2 linked regions of the Macaca fascicularis genome follow. The protein of the gene in region 1 purifies or fractionates together with the protein of each later gene. This does not show direct contact. Links are inferred from orthologs where the notes say so. Each region holds a gene or a part of one and is shown on either strand. Other genes may lie near its edges.

What was found.
Region 2: the proteins of NPM3 (region 1) and RMP64 purify together in Homo sapiens (affinity purification with mass spectrometry; 4 studies listed by BioGRID and IntAct, with this or other methods). This does not show direct contact. The link is inferred for Macaca fascicularis from reciprocal best matches to the Homo sapiens genes NPM3 and RMP64.

Annotation. Positions count from the first base shown.
Region 1 is NC_088383.1:110,764,395-110,768,607, forward strand, and holds NPM3 (nucleoplasmin-3), read right to left. Parts: upstream 2,704-4,213; 5' UTR 2,695-2,703; coding exon 2,577-2,694; intron 2,231-2,576; coding exon 2,145-2,230; intron 1,904-2,144; coding exon 1,784-1,903; intron 1,664-1,783; coding exon 1,570-1,663; intron 1,166-1,569; coding exon 1,047-1,165; 3' UTR 1,038-1,046; intron 944-1,037; 3' UTR 632-943; downstream 1-631. UniProt on the Homo sapiens protein: Plays a role in the regulation of diverse cellular processes such as ribosome biogenesis, chromatin remodeling or protein chaperoning. Modulates the histone chaperone function and the RNA-binding activity of nucleolar phosphoprotein B23/NPM.
Region 2 is NC_088376.1:170,123,767-170,128,223, forward strand, and holds the start of RMP64 (nucleolus and neural progenitor protein), read left to right. Parts: upstream 1-1,480; 5' UTR 1,481-1,506; coding exon 1,507-1,609; intron 1,610-3,119; exon of another isoform or gene 3,120-3,571; coding exon 3,572-3,726; exon of another isoform or gene 3,727-4,457. UniProt on the Homo sapiens protein: May play a role in cortex development as part of the Notch signaling pathway. Downstream of Notch may repress the expression of proneural genes and inhibit neuronal differentiation thereby maintaining neural progenitors.

The sequences.
Region 1 (4,213 bases):
TCCAGGCACCAGAGACCCCCAGACCCCACGGGGTGTGGGGGACAAGAACCCCTTAGTCCAGGAGGCCAATTCCCAGGGGCCCTTTTCTGCCCCCATATGCCAGGCCACCCGGATTCTGGTTTCCCTGTCACCCAATCTGGCTAGTCCCCTCCATCTGGCCCCCGGAGTCAGGTTTCTGTAAGGTCCCAGCCCTGCTCAAGAGAGGGCCTGCCAGGCTCAAAGGAGGAGCGAAGCCTGGTCCCACCCTGCCCTCACAGGCCCTCTCTGGGCCGGAGCCCCTCATGGGGCTAGGGACGCACATTCCTCAGGCTGCCCAAGCCCGCTTATCTGCCCCCTGCCCATCAGCCTGAGTGCTGACAGAGGCCCAGACCCCTTGTTTGGATGCTGATAACCTCCTGCGATGGCCCTCCCCCACCTGCAGAGACTGAAAACCGGCTGAGTGTTGGGAGGTCCTCTTCCAGCAAGGCAACTGGGGCCCAGGCCCCTGGTCCTAGCCCAGGGTCGTGAGGGTAGAAGATCCCAGAGTTCTCCACCCTCCCCCAGGCCCAGGACCACCCTGGGTGCTGCCACAGTGCCACCTGGCGGTCCCTAGGGAAACATCACCTAGCACAGGAAGAAGCCACACAGGAGCTGCAAAAATCCCACACCACTTTATTTCAACCTTTATCCAAAAATGTAAAAACTATTAAAAATCTGTAGTTCTGAGTTTCCGGCACTAACTTCTAATCCTCACAGACAGGTGGGAAGAGAGGCCCCAAGAATGGTGCAAGATCAGAAAACCAGGGCTGTGTGGAGCACAGGCCCTCTCCTAGCACCAAAGACCCAAGTCCCTCCCACCCAAACCCCACCCAAGCTCTCCTCTTCAAGGAAGAAGAAACATTTACAATTCTTGAAACTTCTCGGGGAACAGGGTTCATGGCGGTGCATGGCGCATGGAGCTGACCTGAAAAGAGGAAACAAGGAATCAGCACCTAGGCCCTCAACTGCTTCTCCCGCCCCTTCCCAGAGCATGCTGGGCACTTCTCCCCGCAACTCACCAAGGAGGGCTAGGGCCTGCCCCCCTGCTTTTTGGCAGGAAGGATGGGGCACAGCTCAGCTTCTTCCTCGTCACTGTCTTCTTCTTCTTCCTCGCTCTCCTCCTCAGAAACATCATTGCTCATCGTAACTGGTGGACACACAAGCAGTAGAAGGATGGGATGTTAAGACCAGACACTTTCACACCGCATCCATTTCTTCATGCCCTGTGGTTCTAGGCTTGCAGGGACCCTGACCTCCCAGTGCTTATGGGCTAAGTGGGAAGAACCTCAGACCCTGAACTGGGTCACAAAGAGCCAAAGGAGTCTTCATCACTGGAGCTGGAGAAGCTGGGCCATGTTCCATGGAGGAGGTAGGCTTGAGTAGACGGAAAGGAGAGGGCATGTCATGCACAGGGCACAGCGTGAAGGGCACGCAGACCTGTACAGGACTGCACTGGGAGATGAAGGTGGGATGGGGCAGGAGTGCGGAGTGGGGGAAGCCTGATGGGAGAGTCTACTGGAAGCAAAGGAGAGGGCCCTTTCCTCCTCTCACCAATCTGGTGCCGCCCAGTGATCCGCACAGGGCCAGAGCCCGACTTCAGGCGGAAGGTTACAGGTGGTTGGAGCTGGAAGTCGTCCAGACTGAGCTGGGAGGAAGACAAGGATGAAGGCCTGGCCCACTCCTAGCCCACCCCACACTGTAATGAGTACTGACGTCCTCAACCCCCTCACCACCACCACCACGAGGGTAGAGCTGGGGAACTCACCATGGGTTGGCAGGACAGCTTGAGGTTGGCCACAGGGACTGCGATCTCCTGATGGTCATGGTTCCGGGCCACAACTTCTACCACATTACACTCGTCTTTGGCTCCCTCGGTGAGGCAGAGCTGGGAAGGGTACACAGGGTCTCAGGGTCTCCTCAAGCGAGGGCTGACACCACAAGTAAAGGCATCTACCCTAGCACCTGCCCAGCTTCAGAGGTCCCGGTTCACCTGGCCAGGGGAGCCGCCCATGTCGGGGGGTTAGGCTGAGGAGGTGTCTCCAAGTAAAGGGGGTCCGGGGGTTGGGTAGAGACATATATTGCTTGCCTGGGCTTATTTATTGAAACCCCACTCCCCCGCCCCTCACCATGGTTAGTGCCAGCACGTGCTCCGCATCATCCTCTTCCTCTACCTTAAAGGTGAAGGAGCGGGTGTGGCCGGAGAGCTCACAGCCTGGGAGAAATAACAGTGAGTATGCCTGAGCGTGTGTACGGGGCTGGGGGTGGGGGATGTCACCAACCCGCGGTCACGTGTAACCTTGGGCGGACGAGCCATTTACACGTCCACCTCCTTCTCTTCTCTCAGAACACCTGGGGCGCTCGGCCGTGGGCCCCGCCCAACACATCTGGGGCAGGGATCTCGCCGCCCCCTTCGGCTGTGCGTGCGAGGCCCCCTCTCCTCCAGGAACAGCAAAGCAGCCCTCCGCCCACACCCACGCCGTGAAACCCTCCGCATTCCGCCTCTCATCCCTACCTCTTACCGCCCCAGTACCACCCTCAGCCTCTCCCTTCCCCAATACCGAAGAAAAAACTGTCCATAGTGACTGGGGCTGGGACCCGCAGGCCCCCGACACCCCCGGCCCGCGTTCGGCTCTCCTGACTCAAAAACGCCAAGGCAGCTGCTGTGCCGGCGGCCATGCTGCAAGGGCCTTCTCCAAACTCCGCCCCCGACACGCACAAAGCCGGGGACCCTCGGCCAGTTCCGGCCCCGCCCATTAAAGGAGACGCTCAGTCCCGAGAGAAAAGGCACCGAGACCCCGCAGCCCTACCCGGAGCCCGCAGCTTCTGCTCGTATTGTATCAAGACCGAAGAGAAAGGAAGTAAACACCACAGAAGAACGGATTTGGGATTTATGTTAACATCCTTGCTCATTTCCACGACTACGAGGGTGTCCACTTCCCCAAGCTCCTCGCTCTGTGTCGGAGGAGTGTCTCCCACTCTTCCAACCCAGGGTAAGCTTTCGTTAAAGGAGGTATAGATACAAAAGTTAACTCTTCTTACTCCTCCTCCCAGCAAAGGTGGGGTTCAGGGCAGTGCTTTTCCGCCACAAGCAAAGGAAATGCACTCAGATTGTCTTTGCCTCAAGAGAGCCGAGGAGCCTAAAGACTTTCAGTTCAGTAATTTCCATCCTAACACGTGTGTCCTCTCGGCTAAGCCTCTCCTAGATACTCTTCCTGCTCCAATGACCCCGCAACTTGTTATGCCTTCACTGAGCCTTAGCTGCTAGCAGAGAACTAGTTAGTTCATGTGTGTTCTGTTCCTGGCCGACCCACGCGTTTTGAGCTTTTAATTCCAAATCAGCCAGAAGTTATCTTTGCGCCCTGGATTGTCAGTTTACGCTACTCGCGCCATCTTTCGCCTTTTAAGAATCAGGCCAACTGTGTGCTTTTTCCCAATAGATAGCAAAAACTCAAACAAGAGGCCCTATTTCACACCCAGGTTGTAACTGTGGCAAGAGGGTGGGGTGGCTTGGCTAAGAACCAGTCTACTTTTCTTAGCTCTTGCCCTAAGGAAAATCTGGAAGTGATGGGAGGTAGGAGGGCTGCCTTCAAGATCCAATCTCTAACTTGGAACAGCTGTGGAGAGGAGGCATACTGCTTGTAGGTGAGGCATGAAAGAGAGAAGGTAGGGCGCAGACAGGAAATAGATTCACACAATACAACACGACAAGCATTCACTTCAAGTTTTATTTTGCCTCTTGCATGGTCTTTTACAGTTCGTTTTCTACAGGAACTGAGCTCTGATCTAAACAATCAATAAAAATGTCATTCCAACCTTAATATTCATAACCAGGAAATAGCATAGCACTTCATGATCCTAGAGTGATGAAAGCAAAGACCAGGACATCTGTTTCACAGTTACCTGTGACCAGACCAGCCAACATGATTACTAAAAGCCAAGATAAAACCAAAAGTAAACTTACTAAAACATCCTGATTCCATGAGGTTAACTCTGAAATCCTCCAGACAAAATGCTAGAATTGTCCACTACTGTTAAATACGAGAAAACTGAGGAAAATTCAGCTGTCTTACTATCTAGTAGGGGTCTTCCCTTCATCTCAAGCCCTCAAAAATGCAAACTTGGTTCCAGCTTTACAACATACCATATCCTTCTATCAGTTAAAAGGTTTCTAACCTTAAAACCTTCTCTCCTTTCT
Region 2 (4,457 bases), on another chromosome or scaffold:
GTGTTTTTAAGAGGGAGGCAGGCAGGAGGGTGAGAGAGAGGAAGAGGAGGAGACTGAAAAATGTCATGCTGACAATGAAGATGGAGGATAGTGAAATAAGCCAAGGAATGAAGGCAACCTCTAGAAGCTGGAAAAGGAAAGGAAATGAATTCTTCCCTAGAGATTCTGGAAAGAACCAGCCCTGTCAACTTCAGTCCAGTGAAATTAATTTTGGACTTCTGACCTCCAGAAATGAAAAATAACTTCTACTTATTTCAAGTCATTAAGTTTGTGGTAATTTGTTAAAGCATCAGTAGAAAACGAATACATAAGCCAACATAGAGCACTGTGGTAATACATTAAAGGGGCCTCTATATCAAATTATGGAGTGAGAATGGGGTGTTTAGGAAGAATTGCCCAAAGTGAAGACCCCAAAGCTGAGGAAGGGAGATTGTTTCCGAGGATGACCCAGGTAGAGTAAGGAGATGTGTAAATGCGCACAGAAAGAGCATGGAAAGTGTTTCAATAAAGTAAGACTGTTTGCATGAAATAGTAGTAATAACATCAACAATATTAACTATGGTACATGGTTATTGTTTGTATGCCAGAAGTGCCTTGGCATTTTACAAGTCTGTGAGATTGATACTATTATTATCATCTTCATTTTACCCACAGGGATACTAAGGTCTGGAGGAGGAGGTAAGTAAATTTCCTGAGATCACCGAGCTAGTAAACAGCAAAGCTAGAACTAGAACCTTGGCAGTCTGTTTCTAAAACACTGTTTTTCTAATACGTTACTGTGGGAGTCTTAAGAACTTAAGGGGGCATTAGCAAGGCTGAGGATAAATGAATTATTAGAAAGATATTAATGAGGTAAGGATCACTAGAGCTTGGAATATGATCTTGTCTTGGAGACTGACAAAAGTGGGAATGACAGACAGGTGTCTTCCAAGTTTCTTTGATGTGATCTCGGTTTTGCTGTGGGTCAAGACATAAAGGAGCCTTCCTTTACCACTCAAAGCAAATCACTTGTTCTTGGCTAAAAATTCCACACCTTGCATAAACCTCTTTATTTCATTTCTTCCTTTTTCCCCTAATGTCTGAGGCAGAGTTGGGGGTAAAAGCACCAACTCACCTCTGGGCCTCATTTTCCATATGTGTAAAATGCCTGGAAGTATTTAATAGTTCCAAACTTGGTTGTGCTTCCGAATCCCCTGCGTGAAGTTTAAACAAAATGCAGATTCCTCACCCCATTCTCAGAGATTCTGTTGGTTAGTATTGGGATGGCGCTTTTTTTCTCCCATGATTCTACGCGGCCACGTATTGGTAACGAATGTACAGATTACGGGGTCCTTCCCAGTCCCACGCGTTTACTCCGTGAAGGCCGCCTCCCGCCCGGCTCCTGGCCCCGCCCGAGCCCCGCCCCCTGCTCCCTTCAGACCTGGACTAGGTCCCATCGCCCCACCTCCGGTCGCTAGACGTGCTCTCGCGTAGCTCCGCCTTTCCTAGATCTACCCGCCTCGCAAGATGGCTGCGTTACTGCCGGGCCCGGAACCTTGGAACCGTGTGAGAATTCCTAAGGCGGGGAGCCGCACCGCAATGACAGTGCAGAACCCCGGCGCGACCCTTGGTGAGTGAGGCGCCGGGCGAGGATGGGGGAACGTTTCCGGAGGAGGCAGCCAGGCCGGGCCGGCGCACGTGGCGGGGGCGGTACCGGGACTTCCCGGGCCCGGGGGACGCTGGGAGAGGGCGCGGGGCACGTAGGGGTCGAGCGGTGCCAGCACTTTACTGGTGTAGCTCGTAGGGCCTCTGGCTTAGCAGTCGTTCATTGAACCAACTGTGCTAATGCAGGGCTTGGCTGGAGAGATGAAGGACTAAGGCTCAGCCGTGCGCTGAGGAGGCGGAGAGAGGTGGACTCAGCTGGTGCCTGGGAACAGTGCTGCCTGGGAACCCTTGTTCACCCGGGTCTTGGGAGTCTTGTTTACCCTTCCGTCCGTTTCCCCTTTCCGTCTTTTTCCTGCCCCCTGCTCCCGAGAAGCGGTTGACGTCACCCAAGCACTGGGACTCAAACTGCGATCTTTTCGGACCGCTATCTGCTTATCTGTGAAATGGAGCTAGTCCTCCTCCTACTCACGGGGGCGTCGGGAATATCTAACGATGTAATGTAGGAGACAGTGCTCTGTAAACGACAGTGTTTTACCACCTAAATGGATGGTATTTGTTAGGGTGAAGGGCATATAGTAGGTAGGAGCCTGGCGCAGGAGCCAGGTTGTTTGGGTTTGAATACTAGCTCTACCCTTTGCTGGAGCTTGAGGGAGTTACTGAACCTTTCTGTGCCTCACTGATCTCACTTTCAAATGGAGATAAAAGTAGTACCTTCCTCATAGGACTGTTTTAGGGGGATGAAGGAGTTGATAATGTAGAGAAAGCATTTGGAACACTGCCTGGCATGGTAAATGAACATTCAAATGGTAGCTGTTACTAATGTTAAATACGTAGCTCGGGGGCCCAAGTGGGAGAATACAGTCAGTCATGGGTTCTTTGTTTCAGGTTGGGCTGGTGAAGCCCTTTCCTCATCCGTGTTTTCACTAGAGACAAACTAAAAACCATGACTTTAAGCTGCAAAAAGCCTAAAACAAAACAGAACAACACAATAAGGCGGATTGGACAAAACTTGATTTAGATCATCACATCCCCTTTCCCATATATCCATCCTACACACTTCACAGATTATCCCATCTGTCCGTCCTACACACTTGACAGATTAATCTTCCCTCTTTCTCTATTCAGAAATTCTTTAACAATTCCTATTAGGCATGGGAAATTCACCAACTCACTACCCATCCCCGAGGCAGCCCATTCTGTCTTCAGATAGTTGTTGGGACAGTAAGAAAATTCTTGTTAGGTAGCAACCAGCCTTTACTTCCACCTGGAATGCTAGTGCTGCCTTTAGAGCCATAAATCACATGAACTACATCTTACGGACTACTACAGATTTTCAGACTAGGAAGCATCTGCTGATGAGCACCGGTTGTTCAGTCAGGCGTTCATCAAATAATACGATTTCCAGTTACTGTGGTGGTTTTTCTTTTCTGAATATGTTTGTGTCTCTCTTAAAGTGATATCCAAACACAGAAGCCTTGATTTTGAAGACTATGAATTTATTCATTCTGTCTTGCTTTTGGGAATAGCAACATGGGGAGTTAGAGAATTATTACACTTGTAGTGACATGTGCCCCACCTCCAAGGTGGGGGCGTAAGTGTACACATGAGGCGTAAGTGTACACCAAATGACTGACAGCAAAGTATTCATATGAAAGATTATTAAACCATGATAAAATGCAATGTAAAGATACAACTTCTTGTTTAACGGATGTTCTCTTAATGATTTCCTGGACTTTATATCATCTGTTACCATTTTTCAACTTCTCTTATACTTGGAATCCTTATGTTCTTACAGTTGAGACAGATTACATTTGTTTTTGATTCCTTTAAAACAATTAAGGGAAGATGCTTTTTTTCAGTGTGTTTTTAATATAACATACTTAATGTAGAAATATGTACTAAATCTTATTAAATATTTCTGCTTCAGACCTTTGCATTGCAGCTGTAATTAAAGAATGCCATCTCGTCACACTGTCACTGAAGAGCCAAACCTTAGATGCAGAAACAGATGTGTTATGTGCCGTCCTTTACAGCAATCACAACAGAATGGGCCGCCACAAACCCCATTTGGCCCTCAAACAGGTGAGGAAGCCCGGTAGATGAGACCCAGCCTGTTCACTTGAAAATGTAGAGCACACTGCCACTTACTATTTTGCTATTTATGGAAATCTTGTGGAAATCTCAGTAAATCACTTGTGTTTTATAGGCCTATAGCCCACAGTTACATGTACGCTTTCTTTTTTTTCCTGAAAGCATTTCAGCATTTCAGAAAGTAATTTTTGTTAGAAAAGAAGTATATTTAGATTAATTCTTTCCCAGTCTTATTTCTAATGGGCAAATAAACATTTTCTTCATTATATACAATCTATAACAACAGTGCCTTTGCCCAGTGCAAAGAGAAAGTGAGTTGAGCAAGACAAAATGTTGGACATTAAGAAACAGTTCCCTGGGCATAATCAAAATGCTGAAATACAAAAACAACAACAACAACAACAAAAAAACTTGTCTACTTATTATGGGGTACATAATCTAATTGGTGGTATGTTAGAGTAAATGGATACATAGCAAGTTGTGATGTAAACTGGTTTCATGTAATGTCTGGAGCTTAAGACAAAATTGGACCCTCCAGCTCAGGGGCTACACCATAGAGTAGAGCCTCTTTTAAGCTGGCTTCCTGATATGCTTATTCATTCATTCACTTAATTCCGCAAGTATTTTCTAGAAGTTCAGAAGGCTATCCATTGTGTGACAGGGCTACCTTGCAACTTTTGAACTTTCTGTGTGCCAGGCACTCTGCTTAGTGCTGTGTATAG